Linked DNA regions of Arabidopsis thaliana. The protein of the gene in region 2 interacts with the protein of the main gene of each other region in a pairwise test. Each region holds a gene or a part of one and is shown on either strand. Other genes may lie near its edges.

Region 1 (8,577 bases), 790 kb from region 2:
ACCTTCTTCCTCTTCTTCACTTGGTGTTTTAACTCGAGCTAAATCTCTAGCTCTTCAACAACAACAACAACGCTGTCTTCTTCAAAAACCCTCTTCTCCTTCTTCGTTACCACCGACTTCTGCTTCTCCTAATCCACCGTCAAAGCAGAAGATGAAGAAGAAGCAGCAGCAGATGAACGATTGTGGTTCGTATCTTCAGCTACGGAGTCGTCGGCTTCAGAAGAAACCACCAATTGTTGTGATTCGTTCTACTAAACGGAGGAAACAGCAACGGAGGAATGAGACATGCGGAAGAAACCCTAACCCTAGGAGTAATTTGGATTCGATTCGTGGTGATGGGTCTAGGTCTGATTCTGTTTCTGAAAGTGTTGTCTTTGGTAAAGACAAGGATTTGATTTCTGAAATCAATAAAGATCCAACCTTTGGCCAAAATTTCTTCGACCTTGAAGAAGAACACACTCAAAGGTATCATCTTTCTTCATCAATTTCAACCTAATTTTTTGGGGGATTTCTTATTTTTATGAATCTGTGTGAATTTGTTCTGTTTCTTGAGAAAACTTTGGTATTGGATTTGAAAATTTCCGTTGTTAATTTGAAAAAAGGATCAATTTTTTGTCTTGTATTTGGTTAAAATTGAAACTGGCGTTTTCGATTTTGAAATTTAATGATATTTTTACCATGTGTATGATATGATGCCATCTTTTCTTTATCTGACAACACCAGACTCTTCTCTCTGTTTCCGGGAAAGAAAATATATATAATTAATCAAAAATGTGTTTCTTTTTTCTTGAGAAAGTTTTTATTTTTTCTTCAATTACTTTGAAGAAGGTGATAGTGACTATTGTTTTTTCTTCAGACTTTTTATCTGCTTTCATGTAAAGAATGTTGGATTTGTGTTTGAAATGTCTCTGTAAGTAACTCTTTAAAGTTTGGTTCGTTTTTGGGATTCTGCAAAGTATATGATGTGTCTCTGTAACATCTTAAGTTCTAGTTTCTCTGTCTTTTAATTTTTCTTGCTGTTTGGTTGTTTTTTGATGTTATGATTTCAGTCTAAAGTCGTGATCTTGTTGAACATTGTATGAGTCATTAACTTTTCAAGCATTGCTGAAGTAATCTTCATTGGAAGTTTCTTCTTTGGTTTTATGCTTTGTGAACTTTGAACCACAAATCAACAAGGAGTTTCTCCTTGTCCTTTTTTCAGTTAAACATGACTTGCTTAGTTTTAGTTATCTATATGCAATAAAGTTTGCTTGCTTTTGCTGCTAATTAAGGAAACACGGTTATGTGCTTTTTCCTTGAGAGCATTGTATGAAAGTAACATATTACTTACTCTCAGCTTCAACAGGACCACAAGGGAATCCACACCATGCAGTTTGATAAGAAGGCCTGAAATCATGACAACCCCGGGATCGTCTACAAAGCTTAACATTTGTGTAAGTGAAAGCAACCAGAGAGAAGACAGTTTGTCACGCAGCCATCGTCGCCGACCAACTACACCTGAAATGGACGAGTTTTTCTCGGGTGCTGAAGAAGAACAACAGAAGCAATTCATTGAGAAGTATGTGTTTCCTCGTTTCATCTGTTCTGTTCTTTTGGTTATGAGTTTCCAGTTTGTTCTGTTCTTCTCTTTTGGTCTTGTGTCTCTAATGGTTTCTGTCAACTCTTTCTTCAGGTACAACTTTGATCCTGTGAACGAACAACCACTACCAGGACGGTTTGAATGGACGAAGGTAGATGATTAGAAACAACAAAAAAATGGGGGGTTAATAGTTAATACAGAATATATTAACATTTTCCTGCTAATTATCGGTTTGATCTTATTACCATCATCCGTTTTCTTAACTTTTTCAACATGTAAAGAGCTTAGGAGAAAAAACCCATGTAGTGTTTTTAAATTGGTGTCTGTAACATAAGTGGCTGAAAAGGGTTTGTGTAACAGAACTTGATACCAATCCTTTTTAAGCCTATACAGATCACCTTAGTAGTAGTACTAAAGCCATAAGAGAAGGTTTTTAGAAGTAACCCAAAGTCTGTTTAGGGTTTAGCGTTTAGGGTTTAGAGTTCTTTCGGTTTAAGGGTCAGTGTTTTCTTTTATGAATTCCGGTACAGGGGGACTCTGCATTCTCTTAAAACTCTTTGTCCTGTAACCATTTTAAAAAATCTATCCTTTTATGTGTATACATGTACTGATCTCAAACTCTTTTCAATAAAGACTTATCCTTCTCTTTTTTGTTCTCTTCATCTTAAGTTCTTGTTCTTATCATCATCATCATTATGGTCCATGTGTTGTGTTCTTCAGACATATAACATCACAATGACAGGTAGGTAATACATGTCTATATATACACAATTGTATACTGATAATAGAGAGACAGAGAAGCTGTTCGTTATGGATATGGATAGTGTCTCATAGTGGTCTTTGTTTTGTCTCTGTCTTCTCACTAAAATCAAAAGTGTTAGAAAAAGATTCTCTTTCTCTTTCTCTTGCTCTTGTGTGAGTCCATTGTACTTTCCACTCTGTGAGATTTGTGCCCACTATATTATCTTAAATATGTAATTCGTACCCACTCACTACATATCATCATCATCATCATCATTATGGTGATCGTCTTTTGATCAATCATCGAAACTTCGTCGCGTCTTTGCTTGTCATAAGATTCGTTTTCTGATTGTATTGATTTGAGTCTACACACGACAACGTTTTGAATGAAACAGTCCATAGTTGTCAACTTGCCACAGAATCCATTCCAATCTTTACTTAAATGAAATTTATTGCTCTCGAAGTTACAAGTATCGAACTTTGTGTCTGCGGTTGCGACTTCTTGCGGCCAAAGCGGTAAAGAGGTACAAAAAGAGGGTCCTACAGTTGCAGAAGAGTTTTTGGATTCTTCGTGTGGATATGTTTTTGTGAGCTCAAGTCACTAACTGCCACACACTCTATCAAGTAACTGCCAAAACAAACGTCTCTTTCTCTTTGGAATTCGTAATCTGTTGTTTTTGTTTCTCCTTTTCTCAAAGTTAATTAAGTGTTCTCTTAAGCATTCAATTAGTAAGATCATGGCCTTGTTTTGATAGTTCCTTGGTTACTTTTCTTCTACAGATCTCAAACAATACTAAACCAGACTTTCAAAACAGATCACTTATTAGTCATAACTTCGGTTTCAGAATCTGAAATATAGATGAGATGTTCATTAGTTGCATAAGGCAAAAACACCAACAAGACTGTTGTTTATATGCAGTTACACCACAATAGATAAGAAATTATCCAAAATACATTCAAACAGCAAAATATGGGAAGAGACAATAACAAAGGGAGAGACTTTCAGATTTGTCTTTTCAAAAGACTTGAATCTTTCTCTCTATATATAAGATATAAGGAAGTAATGCTCAGAAAAAAAAGAAGCCTACCCTGATTTGGTGTAGATACGGATTCCGACTGCTAAACCAAGAATGGCAAGGGGTACGAGGAACTGGAGGAGCTTGATTATGAATTCAGAGGTCTTGTCTTGATTGTAGTGAGGCTGTTTAGGAGGTGTGTATTTGACTTTCTTTGGTATTGTTGTTGGATCAATCTCTCCTACGTAGTACTGCTCCATCATTTCTCTTGCACTCTCGCTGTGACCCACGTCCTCAAAATCATCCGTTGCATCCTTACCTGAAAAGAGAATAAGAATCAAAAACCGATGGATTGATCTCCACTAAGCCGGGAGCATGGTGATAGTTGTGTTTATACAGACCTGTTGAAGACAAGAGAACATCGTCCCCACCTGGATGGTCTTCAAGAAACTTGGTCACATTGTACACCTGCATTTTTTTGCAAATGTGTGAAGTTAGGAGAGGCAAATGAAACCCAATTACAGAACTTCTGAACTTTGAAGATTTCTTGTCAAATCAAGAAGTTTAAAACATGGGAAGATCCACTTCTGAGGCTTATGATTAAAATGTAAGAAACAATGGAGCAACAAAAAGAAAAGTTCTTAGGTTATCGCTTTCTTTGGACTAAACAAGATATGGTGCATATAACTCTAAAAATCAAACAATAGGAATAGAAAGATGAATACTTGAAACAAATTACTGTACCAACAACCAAGTCCAGAGATACATTTGGGATCTTCTGAACTTGATAAAAAGGATTGTTCTGTGTACATAGCAAACTTGTTGCACAGAGGTAAACTCCCAAAAAAAATGAACTTAAGTGACAATATTAATAAGAAACATAAACTACTGATGGAACAACAGACCAAAACATTTAATGTTTCCTACTTTCTTGTGATAATCTACTGATTTCACAAACCAATCAATGAAGAAAACAAAAATCAAGTTCACTATGAAGGGAGGCTCAAGGATGTATCTACAGATTCCTTCACAAGTTAATAATCACAATACAAAAACGATCGATCTTCAGGGCAAACAACTAATCGACAAGTGTCAGTAGTCCATCCCAAGAAAGGTTGATGTCGATCAAACAAACTCTAAAGACAATAAGAACTATTTCTACATTTCTCCATCTTCAATCAAAATTAGAAAATTTTCAGCTGATAAATAGATCAAAAGAGCTAAATCTTCAGCATAAGCTTAATAACTACACCATTTTCTACTCTCTCTACCCATCTAAAGATTTGATCTGATAATTTTAGACTTAGAAATCTGAGACTTCAAAAGCTTAATCTCATGCAAACACCAAAAGGGGAAACTTTGAAGCACGAGATCTCTAATTTCAGAGGTGAGAATAAGGAGAAAGAAGAATGAAACCTTTCCATTGATGACAATCCAACAGTCATGAGCTTGATTATGCTCTGAAACTTCTGAAAGAGTGAAGATCTTTGCTTCGTCTCCCATTGTTTGTTTGATTCTTGTCTACCAGAATTAACCCACCAAAACCTGACTCTGAGACTTAAAGCTCAAAACTTTATACAAGAGTGTGAGAGAGAGTTGTTGAGTTAAAGACCATTTGACGAATCAGTTAAATTCCGGTTTAATTTGGTTCGTTCTCAAAGTAATCGGTTGGTGAGTTTTGGAAGCTTTGAAAACCGGTTTAATGAAAATTGATTTTGAGTTTGTTCTCACATAGTCTGTACCTAATTGCTGCTCTACTGTTTTGGCCTTATGGTATTCATCTGTACGATTTTGAAAACATATGTGCCAATGTTGAACCGATGGGTTAAGTGGTTTGGTAGTAGTTGTTATTTCCGGTTGAGTGGATGGGGTAGGTAGGTAGGCAGTGCAAATGTTGCGGTTGTGCGCTCTAATTCTGCCTTTTTCATTCAAGATCGGTAGGTGAATGATGTGCAATAAATTTTATTATGGTACATATGAATTCTTTTCTCATAAGTAATATTTATGTAGTTTTATATTAGTAGATACAACTACATAAGAAAAATAAATTGCCGCTGCTTCATACCAACTGACCTTATTTATTAGGGACACAAATCTTTTTCTTTCTAAAGCTTATATAAAATGTACATATTATTCAAAATCAATAGATTGACCGGTGAATTTCTGACCTTGTAAACGAAAAGAGGTCTGAGAAGTTTCAAATTTGAACCATCGACAATGAAAAAAATACATTAGCCATGTTCTCTAGAGAAAAACAAGCAGGTTAACCAAAAGATTAGAACCATCATTTTCTTTATGTTTTTTAGTACCAAATAATGTTATTAAAAGAAAAAGTTATACTTTTAGGACCACCAAATCTTTTTCAATACTAAAAATTGTTGCTTTGAAAATATTAAATACAATTTACACATTAAAAAAAACTAATATATATATAATTTTAAAATGAACAATAAATATAAATAACTAAAATCGTGTTTGTTTGTTCATACACTATTTTCATTGAACTTCTGATACGATAAACAGATAACTAAAAAAAAAATTGAATGCATATGTTTTTGAATTACATCTTGAAATGATTTATAAGCTAAATAACTAGATGACTTTGTTACATAATCGAGCTAATGGTCGACCACACCATCATCATAGTTTACGCTTACCATTTCGTGTAATGAGCTGAATCGATTTATGATAATTTTGTTTATAAAATTTGATTAACCGACTGTAAGTTTATTAATTTCTCTATGATGCCTTGCATATCTCTATAAAGCTTTGTATTATGTTCTGAATTGCAACACATTTTATTGATATGATATGATGATAATTTAGCAATTAGGGTATCCTAAAAGCTCCTAAAACTTAAAATTGTATGACCAACCAATTTTGTAAAAGCAATAAGGAGTTTTTGTAAATCTTCAAAATATATTGGATCCATAACTCAATAACACAAAACTTGAGACTAAAATCATAATAAAGCTATACATTCGGGGCAGTTTTTAATATCCTGACTTGTTGGGTAAGTCTCTAAATATTCGTAGTTTGCATCCAAGTCCCTGACTTACTATCTTCTCCCAAATCTCCTTTTATTTTTACTTTCGTCCTATAAACTAAAATAAATAAGGAAAACACTCTTCTTCAAATCCAGTAGAGAGATTCAAGACGAGTCTCATCGAAAGTTCGAATCTTTCGTCATCTGATTAGCTTTCTCTTAGGGTTTATTTCGATTTCGATTTAGTGTTCTCCATCAATGGCGACACCCATGGTTAGTTCCGCTGGAGGATTACTAGCAATGCTCAACGAGCCTCATCCTGTTTTGAAGCTTCATGCGCTCTCTAACCTCAACAATTTGGTTGACCAATTCTGGCCTGAGATCTCCACTAGTGTCCCCATCATGTAATTCTCTTTTAAACCCTTTTTTTCCGGTTTGAGATTTAGGGTTTTGTTCTCTCACTTGATCTGTTTTTTTATTCGGGATATTCTAGAGAAGATTGTGGGATTTGGATTGTTTGAGCTGTGGTTGTGTGTAGGTCTTCTCGATTTGGGTATTAAAGTTCAAAATTTTGAGTGAGGGATTGATAGTTTGTGGCGATGCAGATTCAATGGGTAGGATAAGAAAAGTAAAGTTTTTTATTTTACATGACTAGCTTTAGCAAGTTCTGTAGTGATCTTTATAGATTATGAATGAGTAATTGTATCTAACTTCTTCCTGGACATGATTATGTTCTTTTACTCATGTAATGTAAAGGCTTGGATTCGTTTTGGTTTATCATCGTACATTCTAGTGGTATAGATTCCAGTTGTAGAGGCTGTGCTGGCGCAATGCTTAGGGTTTTATGATAATCTCTCTTTAATGATTTGCACTACTTGACAGCTTGACTCGAGAGAATTTTTTTTTTTACAGTGAGAGTTTATATGAAGATGAAGAATTCGATCTGCATCAAAGACAGCTTGCTGCTTTGCTGGTCTCTAAGGTGCGATTTCACGATTGTTAAACTTAAGTTTTGTCTAGTTGCGGATAATATTTGCTATATGTTAGTGGAGGAATGTTTAATTGTTGCTCTGAATACATTATGGTTATTTTTCTCCTTAAGAGCTGGTGGATAGTGGTAGAATTTTGGGACGTAGCCTTTTTCTAATCACGTTATATGTTTGTTTTACAAGATATGGGTTTCTTGATGATCGTGGTTGTTTTATCGCAGGTTTTCTATTACTTGGGCGAGCTTAATGATTCGCTGTCTTATGCCCTAGGAGCCGGTCCCTTATTTGATGTTTCAGAGGATTCTGATTATGTTCATACGCTTCTGGGTGAGGATTGAGAAGTTTGTTGATGTTTTTACTCTCTTCATGCTGTTCTCTGTCTGTAGACTCTAGCTAGGGTAACTGTTTAATGCAAATTGCTTACCAAATCAACTTGTCTCAACTCTCAAGGCAAGAAAAGCCTATATAGCCTGCACGACTTATTATCTTAAAAGTAGACTTGAAGCTTGTACATCCAGATATTGTTCTGCCTTTAAGTAGTATAATACTAGAAAAAGACAGATAAGTTGACTATTTGAGTTTTAATAAATGCTGGATGAATGTATACTCATCAGATGCTTCTTTTAAAATTTCAGCCAAAGCAATAGACGAATATGCCAGTCTCAGATCAAAGGCAGTTGAGTCAAATGAGATGGTGGACATTGATCCCAGGCTAGAGGCGATTGTTGAAAGAATGCTTGGAAAGTATGCAATGCTTATACATTTAATGCTCTTGTTTTCATAGTGCTTCAATTCTTCTTACATGGTTTTCCTTCTGCAGATGCATCAGTGATGGGAAGTATCAACAAGCCATGGGCATTGCGATAGAATGCCGGAGATTGGATAAGTTGGAAGAAGCTATCATTAAGAGCGATAATGTTCAGGGAACTTTATCATATTGCATCAATGTTTCTCATTCCTTTGTCAACCGCAGAGAGTACAGACATGAGGTGAGACTGATGTTCTTAGACAATAGTTAAGTAGAAAGGTGTTCTAATTCTATCGACTGATTAGAACTGTATAGTTTTGCCTCATCTGGAAGATAATGTGACCATTTAGTTTCTATGTTGCATCTTCCATTACCATGCCTGCAAACATGTATGCTAGCATCCTCTATGTCCTAAGCTGTAGCCAAAAGTCCTGTTTCAGTTTTCGTGATACCTATCTGAGATGTGTCAAGGCCTGAATTAAAAAAATCTCCCTTTTCTAGGTCTTTTAGTCTAGGCT
Region 2 (8,252 bases):
AGCAACTTTTAACTGATACCAAAAGGAAACATAAACATAAAGTCTACCTCGTCTCCATCATTCATAGTGCCTTCAGCTGCATCTTCAAGTTCCATATCAAACATTCCTCTACTAGAGTCATCTTGTGGAATATCATCCCATTCAATCTCTAACTACAAGGATACACCAGCATATCATTCACTCACCAATACCACATTACTTACTGACCTCAATTGTATAAGCATATTCTGTCTACTTACATCCAAATCTCGCAGCCTCTCCATCACCATACCAAGAATCATGCTGCCACCAACTTGCCCTATTGAGCTATTCTCCAATTTTAATAAGCTCTCCACATATATCACTATCGACTGCAAGGCGGTAAGATAGTTTCGTATGAGTTTATCGCCAGTATGAGCTTACAACTAAATTGTCCAAAATTTACCAAAAAGAAAGACTCACATGGTCCTTTTTGTGCATCTTGGGCATTTGCTGGAAGAGCATTGGCACTAATCTTGAGGGAGTAAGAGGAACCAAAATAGAGATTTTCAGAAGCGCTGCATGCACCCGAGAAAGAACGTCTATCTTCTTGTTTAGTATACGGGAGTGCGAAAGGTTATTCACTACCCAAGGAGGTGGAACGAAGTTGCTTACGAGCATATTCAGACAAGAGTCTAAATACTTTCCACTAGTGACAGCCTGCGATGGAAAAAAGGCAAAAGTTAAATGGTCTAGCTCTTCATCTAGACTAATAACAATAGGCGGGTAAATGTTGAGTTGTGTACCAGTGATATGACAAGGTTCACCAATGCATCCATGACATCAGGTCTGTGGTCCCACAATTTCATTCGAAAAAGCTAGACATAACAATTGGGATGAAATCCAGGGTAAGATTTGGGAGGATCCATCTTAAAACTATTTAAATTGGAAGCAATTGTAAGCTCGTGCAATAGAAACTTACCGCAGAAAGAAGCTTTTGATGGTGAAGGACATCTATGCAAGCCACAGCGCCTGATAGAGCTTTCAAGACTGTCTGCCAGTTCAATTGAAAAATGAAAACACTTTAGCAAACAGAAAAAGAACAAATAAGAAAGAATTGATTGCCATACAAAGAATAGATCACACCTCAAGCTGCGCCACTACATCAGGATCCTTAAATTCTTTGATGTCCCGTGCCATAACTCCAACCATCTCACTATAAAGGTCTGAGTCCCCCTGTCATTAGCAAAGAATTAATAAAACTAGTATCAAGAAGCATAACAGATAATATAGCATCAAATATATATAACTGTAAACACATAAGCAGAGGAAGAAGCAAAACTTGCACAACACTCACAGTTTTGACAGATGTAAGAGCCTTTCTCACGGTCTGCACCAATTGCGTATCAGATAAATCAACGTTGTCCACATAGTTCTCGACTGTGCATAAGCTCGATGGATCACTCATAAGCTCTACTGCTCCCATCCTCTCTGGACTTAATGTAAATCGTGCTGCTACTTCAAGTTGCCGAAAGTGTGGAACTTTCCTGATGGACAAGAGAAGTATTAAGAAATCTCAAAACTTTCAACATTAACTTATACTCAAGACACCATAAACACTCAATTTAAACTCACTAGAAACAATATCTGGAAAAGTCTCTGAATTTAGACTAAATGTTAAGTATTGAAGCTATATAGACTATCAGCTGCGAAAATAGGGAAAGGAGAGCTATAAGAATCGATGTAACCAAGTAAAATCTCCATTGATTACAGATTTTACAAGAGAAAACTAGTATAAAGACACAAAATACGACGGTGAGAGAACTCACGAGGATGAATAATTGAAAGGGTCCGTCAGCTCAGGGAAACCCTTGTCACTGTCCCGTTCTGATAATTCCGGCCTTCGTTTTTTACTCCTTCGCTATGGTTTTTTCTTGGAGAAGAAAAATAGAGAAGGAGCAGATTCTGATGAAAGACGGCGATAATCGATAAATAATAGGAGACGTTTAGGGTTCACACTTACTTTTTCCTATTTCTTTAATTCCATCTTTTTTTTTCTTCACTATTGTCGTCATTACATCAAATTTTGTTTTCTATGTTTCTGTCGTGTGACAAACACAAATTTTTACTTAATTTAAGTAAGTGAACTATAGACATTATTTTTGGTTAATTGGTCTACTTTGATTGCTCACATAACCATAACTAAATAAGACCAAACCAGATATATATAAACCAAAACGAGAAAAGATTAGGGCCAACACACATACAAATTAGTTTCTCATTACAATTTTTACACCCAAAACAACAGACAAAAGAGCAATCAAAGCCAGCGGATACGAAAAGAAAACAACTCCATTTAAAGATCTAAAAATCTCAAGCATCGAGGTCAGCATCTTCATCCATCTCCTCTTTATACTCCTCTTCATCAGCTGTAGCATCTTGATATTGCTGATACTCAGCCACAAGATCGTTCATGTTACTCTCTGCTTCATTAAACTCCATCTCGTCCATTCCTTCTTCTGTGTACCAATGCAAGAAAGCTTATCTCAACATCAGGCTGATATAACCAATATCTTACTTCTTTTACATTTGTGAAATGGAACCAACCCATTTTTCTGGAAAAAGTGCTAACCAAACATTTGATTAACCGTATCACTACTACTTTCATTTCTATCTTCTGTTTCATTATGCTGACTATTTAAGCTCCGTTGTCAAATCTCTAAGTTAGACATAAAAGACAAAGACTAATCAATTGTCATCACACCAGCGTCGTCGAGTGAGCTATATTAATCGTGGATTTTAAGCATTAAAGAAACATTCTATAGTACTAAAGCAAATAAAATAATTATAATCAAACACTATGCTTGACACTGGTCACGTGTACTGGTAGTGAATGATTCTACATCATAAGAGGCCGCATCAAAATCCTAAAAATAAGCATAATGAATTAATCATTTACAAATTTTATTTTACTCAATAAGAAAATCGAAAGTATGATTATTATCTAGCTGCCACAATCTTCGAATTTAATATTTACTCAAGAAGAGACCGACTTTAATCCTTGACTTTCTCATTGCTCTATGGAAAATGATTAAAGCAGTCAATAAAATCTTTTGACATTGTTGGCAGAAGACCAATAATTCGAAGTCTAAAATGTAATCGTCCACACAGTGTATGAGTATCCTAGTATTTTTTTTCTTTTCCATATAAGTTGAATTTGTAATATATATAGTGTAATGTTGTTTATTTGTGGCAACGTACAAAATTGGGAATCCTATAAGTGCGACGACAAGTGACAAGACGAGGCTATGAACAGCTAATGTATGAAGAGAGCCAAAAGAGCAACAACCTGGCACAGCCGTTGTTTTTTTTGAATATATTGACGATTCGTTGGCCTCCGAGATCTAAGGCATCTCTCACAATCAACGGTCCAGATTCCATCTAGAAGATATATTACACCGACCTTGTTTTCTCTATCTAATTCTCACACACACACCAACGCAAACCTCCAAAACAGGGCCGGGGCGATTCATTCACAATCTCGGCGATTCTCTCTTCCGTCTCGAGTCGCTGAGATCCATCAGGTTCGTTTCTATTCGAATCTATTCTCTTGAATCCGTATTTGTTTCCTTTCCTCTCTAGATAGATTTCATTTTTCTGGAAACATTGAGATTTCCATTGATTTGATGTTTAGTGGTTTAGATCGGATAATTTTTGTTATTGACTCTCAAAAAACGAATCATAACTATCTTAAAACTTTGTTTACGCATTGTTATTGAAGGCTAAATAAAAAATGCTCAATTGTTGCTAGAAAGGAAGGTGTCTCGAAAACATGTGAATTTATTTTTTGAGCCTCATTGTTTCTCACTGCAACAATAGTGAATGATTCAATTGAAAAGAACTTTTGGTTAAGCCATTTTTCTCTTTAATAGATTATGTGTCTCAACTCAATTAGGAACTGTGTGTTTTTTTGTTTCCTTGATGTTAACTTGTGAGTTGATTTATTTGGGTAGTTTACTTGTATATATATTTGGTGGTGGGTCCTGGAGGGAAATGAGTGAGAGGGAGCTCTGTTCATACATTCTATGTTTTTAAATGATTAGTATTTTTCTTTCATCTAATACTTGCTTTTTGTGCTAGGAATTTCGATTTTTGGGACTAATTTATCGAGTATATATAATTGGATAAGTGAGTTTGGTATTAATATTAAGAGCAATTAGGTTGGTTATCTTGCCAAACAGTAGACCCCTGTCGTTTTCTTAGTCATTTAAGAAGTAATGCTTAAGATTCAGGCCTCTAATCTGGTTATGATAGTGAAGAGGATCTGTAAATTTACCTATACGACCTGTTGAAAAGGACCTCTGGTGTTTGTTACTATGCGTTTCTGATCAATATAGACATAGTTGGATCATATTCTTCTCTTGATCGTCTGTTTCATTTTTTTTCAAAATCAGTAAAAGGTCTGCAAAATGGTTGCTCAGGGATTCACTGTGGATCTTAAAAAGCCCCTTGTATTTCAGGTAATTACTGTTTCCCAGGGTTTTAAATAGTTTATGTCAACATTTTCCTTGAGACCATAGTCACCCAAGATTGTCTTCGTTTCTTTCTTAGAGCTAATCAAAGTAACGCTCTCTCTTTAACCCCTCCTGCCATTGCTTTGGATGTTTTACAGGTTGGTCATCTTGGAGAAGATTATGAGGAATGGGTTCACCAACCTATCGCGACCAAGGAAGGCCCTCGGTTTTTTCAGAGTGACTTTTGGGAGGTATATATTTTATTTTCATCTTTTCTCATTCTCAATTTCCAATATCAATAATAAGCAATGTCAATGAGACTCTGATCTCCATTCTCTGACGTATTTGCAATGAAACAGTTCTTGACACTTACAGTTTGGTGGGCAGTTCCTGTCATTTGGTTGCCAGTTGTAGTCTGGTGCATATCAAGGTCAGTAAGTATGGGATGTTCACTTCCAGAAATCGTCCCAATTGTTGTCATGGGAATATTCATCTGGACATTTTTTGAATACGTTCTTCACCGGTTCGTTTTCCACATAAAAACGAAGAGTTACTGGTTAGTCACTTTCTCCCTCTCTCTGTGTTACATTTCATAGAGACAGTACTCTCCTATGAATCCTCCTCAAACAGACAAATTCCTGGAAACATGACTTCGGTCAGATGCTAATGATTTTGTGAAACCACTCCAGGGGAAACACTGCACACTATCTTATTCACGGATGCCATCATAAGCACCCGATGGACCACCTTCGGCTCGTCTTTCCTCCTACTGCAACAGCGATTTTATGCTTTCCGGTATTTATCTACATTAACCCACCATTCTACATGTTTTCAGCGCCAACCCTAAACCGTTTTCTTTTCTTGTGTCCTAGTTCTGGAACATTGCGAAGGCTATCTCAACTCCTTCAACCGCACCTGCATTGTTTGGTGGAGGCATGCTCGGATATGTGATGTACGATGTCACTCATTATTACCTTCACCATGCCCAACCTACTAGACCAGTGACCAAAAATCTCAAGGTAAAACAATGTCAAGTCTCAAAACCTGGGACTTTCTTTTCTTTTGTATCCGGATTGCATAAAGAGAGCTTATTTGTTATGTTTTTTCTTATGATTCTGCAGAAGTACCATTTGAATCATCACTTCAGGATTCAGGACAAAGGATTTGGTATAACTTCGTCGTTATGGGACATAGTCTTTGGGACACTTCCCACCACAAAAGCCCCCAGAAAAGAGCAATAGTAGTAAAAGGCAAAAACTAAAAAGATGTTTGTAATACATTTAATTTAATCTTAAGTTATTAATCATCCTTCTGAATTTTGAGATGTTTAATCTGAGGTTTCATTTGGATCACTGTCTTTTGTAGTTTGTAAATCAATACTTCACAATCCTAATATAATATTTTTCTGCGAAAGCAATAAAAAATCTACTAACATGAACATCTGTGTCTTGACTTTGGCCATATATATATTTCTTGAATTGACAGACATTTTGCAATAAATATCCGAAGTTTAAAAAAGACAACCAAATATGGGAAGAGAAACTAAAAATTAAAAAAAATCGTTATTGGGCTGGGCCTGGGTAAAGAAATAAAATCAACACTCACTCACCGACCCGCCCGGAAATCCAAATCGCTCGAGGTCTAATCTGACTCCTCCTCGATTCCTTCTTCTCAAACTGACTGCACTCTTCCTTCTTTCTTCTGCTCACTGAAAATTAGGGTTTAGGGTTTTTGATTTTCGTTCTCTATTAGTTTCTCCCCCTCACTCTCATGGCGATGAATTTTCAATTTATGTGAGATTTTATTCCACAATCGGAATAATTTTCCTGGCAATGGCGACGACCAATGCTCCACCTGAGCTAGCTTCAGGAAACCCTTGCTGCCTCGCTGTATGTATTCGATTTTTGTCCATTTATGTTGTTTAGTGCTTTTCTTCAAAGAAATCTTATTCTCGTCTTCCTTTGATTGTATTTCAGTGGCAAGGGAAGTACATAGGAATGAAGAAGAGGCGAGATGCTTTTAAAGAAGGAGTAACTCTTCTCCAGAAGGCTATAGAAAATGTTAATGCTGAAAAATCCAATCTCGAGAGAAGTAAGTTCCTTTTACTCCTTGTGGCAGAGATTAGCTCGCTCCCTTTTGATGTGTTGTGTTTCTGTTACTGATTAATTTTGTTTATGGTACATGATCCATTGTTATGCCTTTGATTTGATGTAGCTAATTCTCCAATTGATGATTCTTTGGCGATTATGATTGAATTATGGTATGCTTTAAAACTGGGCTTTGTGGCTTGGTTGGAAAGATGTTGTTGTTACTACAGTTCCAAATCTTAATTTTGATTTTTTTACTGGTCTATCTGCTGAATCCTACAGAATTTGGGGAGATGGCGACTGACGGAGATACTAAGGAAAATGGTTCAACTGTGAAAGCATCTTTGGAGAAAGAAATATCTCGTTTGAAGTTTGAGATAGTGTCTTTGCAACAAAAACTGGAGCGGAACCTTAAAGAAAAAAGTGAAGAAACAAAGCTTCTTCAGGATCAAGCTTCTGGTCGAGAAAAGGAGATCAATGAACTGAGGGATCTCCTTAAGAAAGAAACATTAAGGGCAGATAGTTCTGAAGAAGAGAGGGAACATGCTTTTAAGGAACTGAACAAGGCAAAGGCTCTGATAGTAAAAGATGAGGAAATCGAGCAAGATATTCCTGAAGTAAAAAGGGAAATAAGTCTGGTTAAAAATCTTCTTGCTAGTGAGAGACAGAAGACAGAGTCAGAGAGGAAGAAAGCAGAATCAGAGAAAAAGAAAGCTGATAAGTATCTTTCGGAGTTGGAGGTGTTAAGAAATTCAGCTCATAAGACTAGTTCTGATTTACTTACTTTGACCTCCAATCTTGAGACTGTAAAAAAGCAGCTTGAGCTTGAAAAACAGAAGACACTGAAAGAGAAAAAACGTGCAGATATGGAGAGTGCAAAAGCTAGGGACCAGATGAAGCTGGCAGAAGATGTGTCTAAGAAGTTTGAAATCGTTAGAGCAAGAAATGAAGAGCTCAAGAAAGAAATGGAATCGCAGACCGCTAGTAGCCAAGTGAAGTTTGCTGAAAACTCGGAAAAGCTGGAAGAGAAGATAAGGCTCCTTGAGATGAATAAAAAAACAGCCATGGACTGGAAATCTCGTACTGATGATCTGACTCAACAGTTACAAGAAGCGCAATTAGTCGCTGAAGGTTTGAAGAAACAAGTGCATGAGCTTTCACTTTCCCAGAAATCCATCAAGACTCACTCTATTTCTCCTCAGAAAGTCAGAGACCTGGAAAAGGCTGAAATGAGGCTTTTGAAAAAAAAGATGAAGTTTGAGAGAAATTGTGCAAAACACTCCCAAACAGTGGCTAAATTTGAAAAGTTTCGAAGGGAATTTCAGTGCGAAGAGCTAGGTCGGTTGAAACTGGAGTTCGGTAGTCTTACGAATCGCATGAATCTACTGGATGAGTATTTTTCAACAGACGTTGAAGGTACAGCTGGCCTTGGAAAGGTTTGTTTCTGCCATAGTTTTTGTACACTTTGTCTCCTTATCGTTATTTGAAAATTGGCTTGATGACCATAGACATGTTATGAAATTTGATACATAGAAGGTGAATCTGACTATAGAAGATGACAACCCAAAAAAATGTTTTAATATTTGGAATAGTGACCTTTATCTTAACATGGTTTATTTACAGCATCATACCACTTTTATACGTTGCTGTTTTTGATTATTTTAATTCCTTTTTAGTCTCCTTATGCTCATCT

What was found. Proteins that work in one complex are often made in the same cells at the same time.
Region 1: the proteins of FAH1 (region 2) and CB5-B interact in a protein complementation assay, tested with the Arabidopsis thaliana proteins (one study listed by BioGRID).

Annotation. Positions count from the first base shown.
Region 1 is NC_003071.7:13,873,609-13,882,185, forward strand, and holds CB5-B (cytochrome B5), read right to left. Parts: upstream 5,103-8,577; 5' UTR 4,840-5,102; coding exon 4,753-4,839; intron 4,751-4,752; exon of another isoform or gene 4,149-4,750; coding exon of another isoform or gene 4,062-4,148; intron 3,805-4,061; coding exon 3,738-3,804; intron 3,656-3,737; coding exon 3,405-3,655; 3' UTR 2,204-3,404; downstream 1-2,203. Other genes in the region: AT2G32710 (Cyclin-dependent kinase inhibitor family protein), read left to right, coding at 1-465, 1,337-1,558, 1,673-1,742; AT2G32730 (26S proteasome regulatory complex, non-ATPase subcomplex, Rpn2/Psmd1 subunit), read left to right, coding at 6,581-6,726, 7,235-7,304, 7,533-7,638, 7,947-8,055, 8,132-8,300. UniProt on the Arabidopsis thaliana protein: Membrane bound hemoprotein which function as an electron carrier for several membrane bound oxygenases, including fatty acid desaturases.
Region 2 is NC_003071.7:14,662,349-14,670,600, forward strand, and holds FAH1 (fatty acid hydroxylase 1), read left to right. Parts: upstream 1-3,318; 5' UTR 3,319-3,542; exon of another isoform or gene 3,543-3,728; intron 3,729-4,412; 5' UTR 4,413-4,427; coding exon 4,428-4,478; intron 4,479-4,630; coding exon 4,631-4,723; intron 4,724-4,831; coding exon 4,832-5,028; exon of another isoform or gene 5,029-5,161; coding exon 5,162-5,267; intron 5,268-5,344; coding exon 5,345-5,491; intron 5,492-5,593; coding exon 5,594-5,713; 3' UTR 5,714-5,902; downstream 5,903-8,252. Other genes in the region: AT2G34750 (RNA polymerase I specific transcription initiation factor RRN3 protein), read right to left, coding at 48-152, 240-350, 442-678, 765-836, 941-1,012, 1,105-1,194, 1,316-1,444; MEE22 (maternal effect embryo arrest 22), read left to right, coding at 6,305-6,361, 6,449-6,563, 6,842-7,995. UniProt on the Arabidopsis thaliana protein: Fatty acid 2-hydroxylase involved in the alpha-hydroxylation of sphingolipid-associated very long-chain fatty acids (VLCFA). Probably involved in the resistance response to oxidative stress.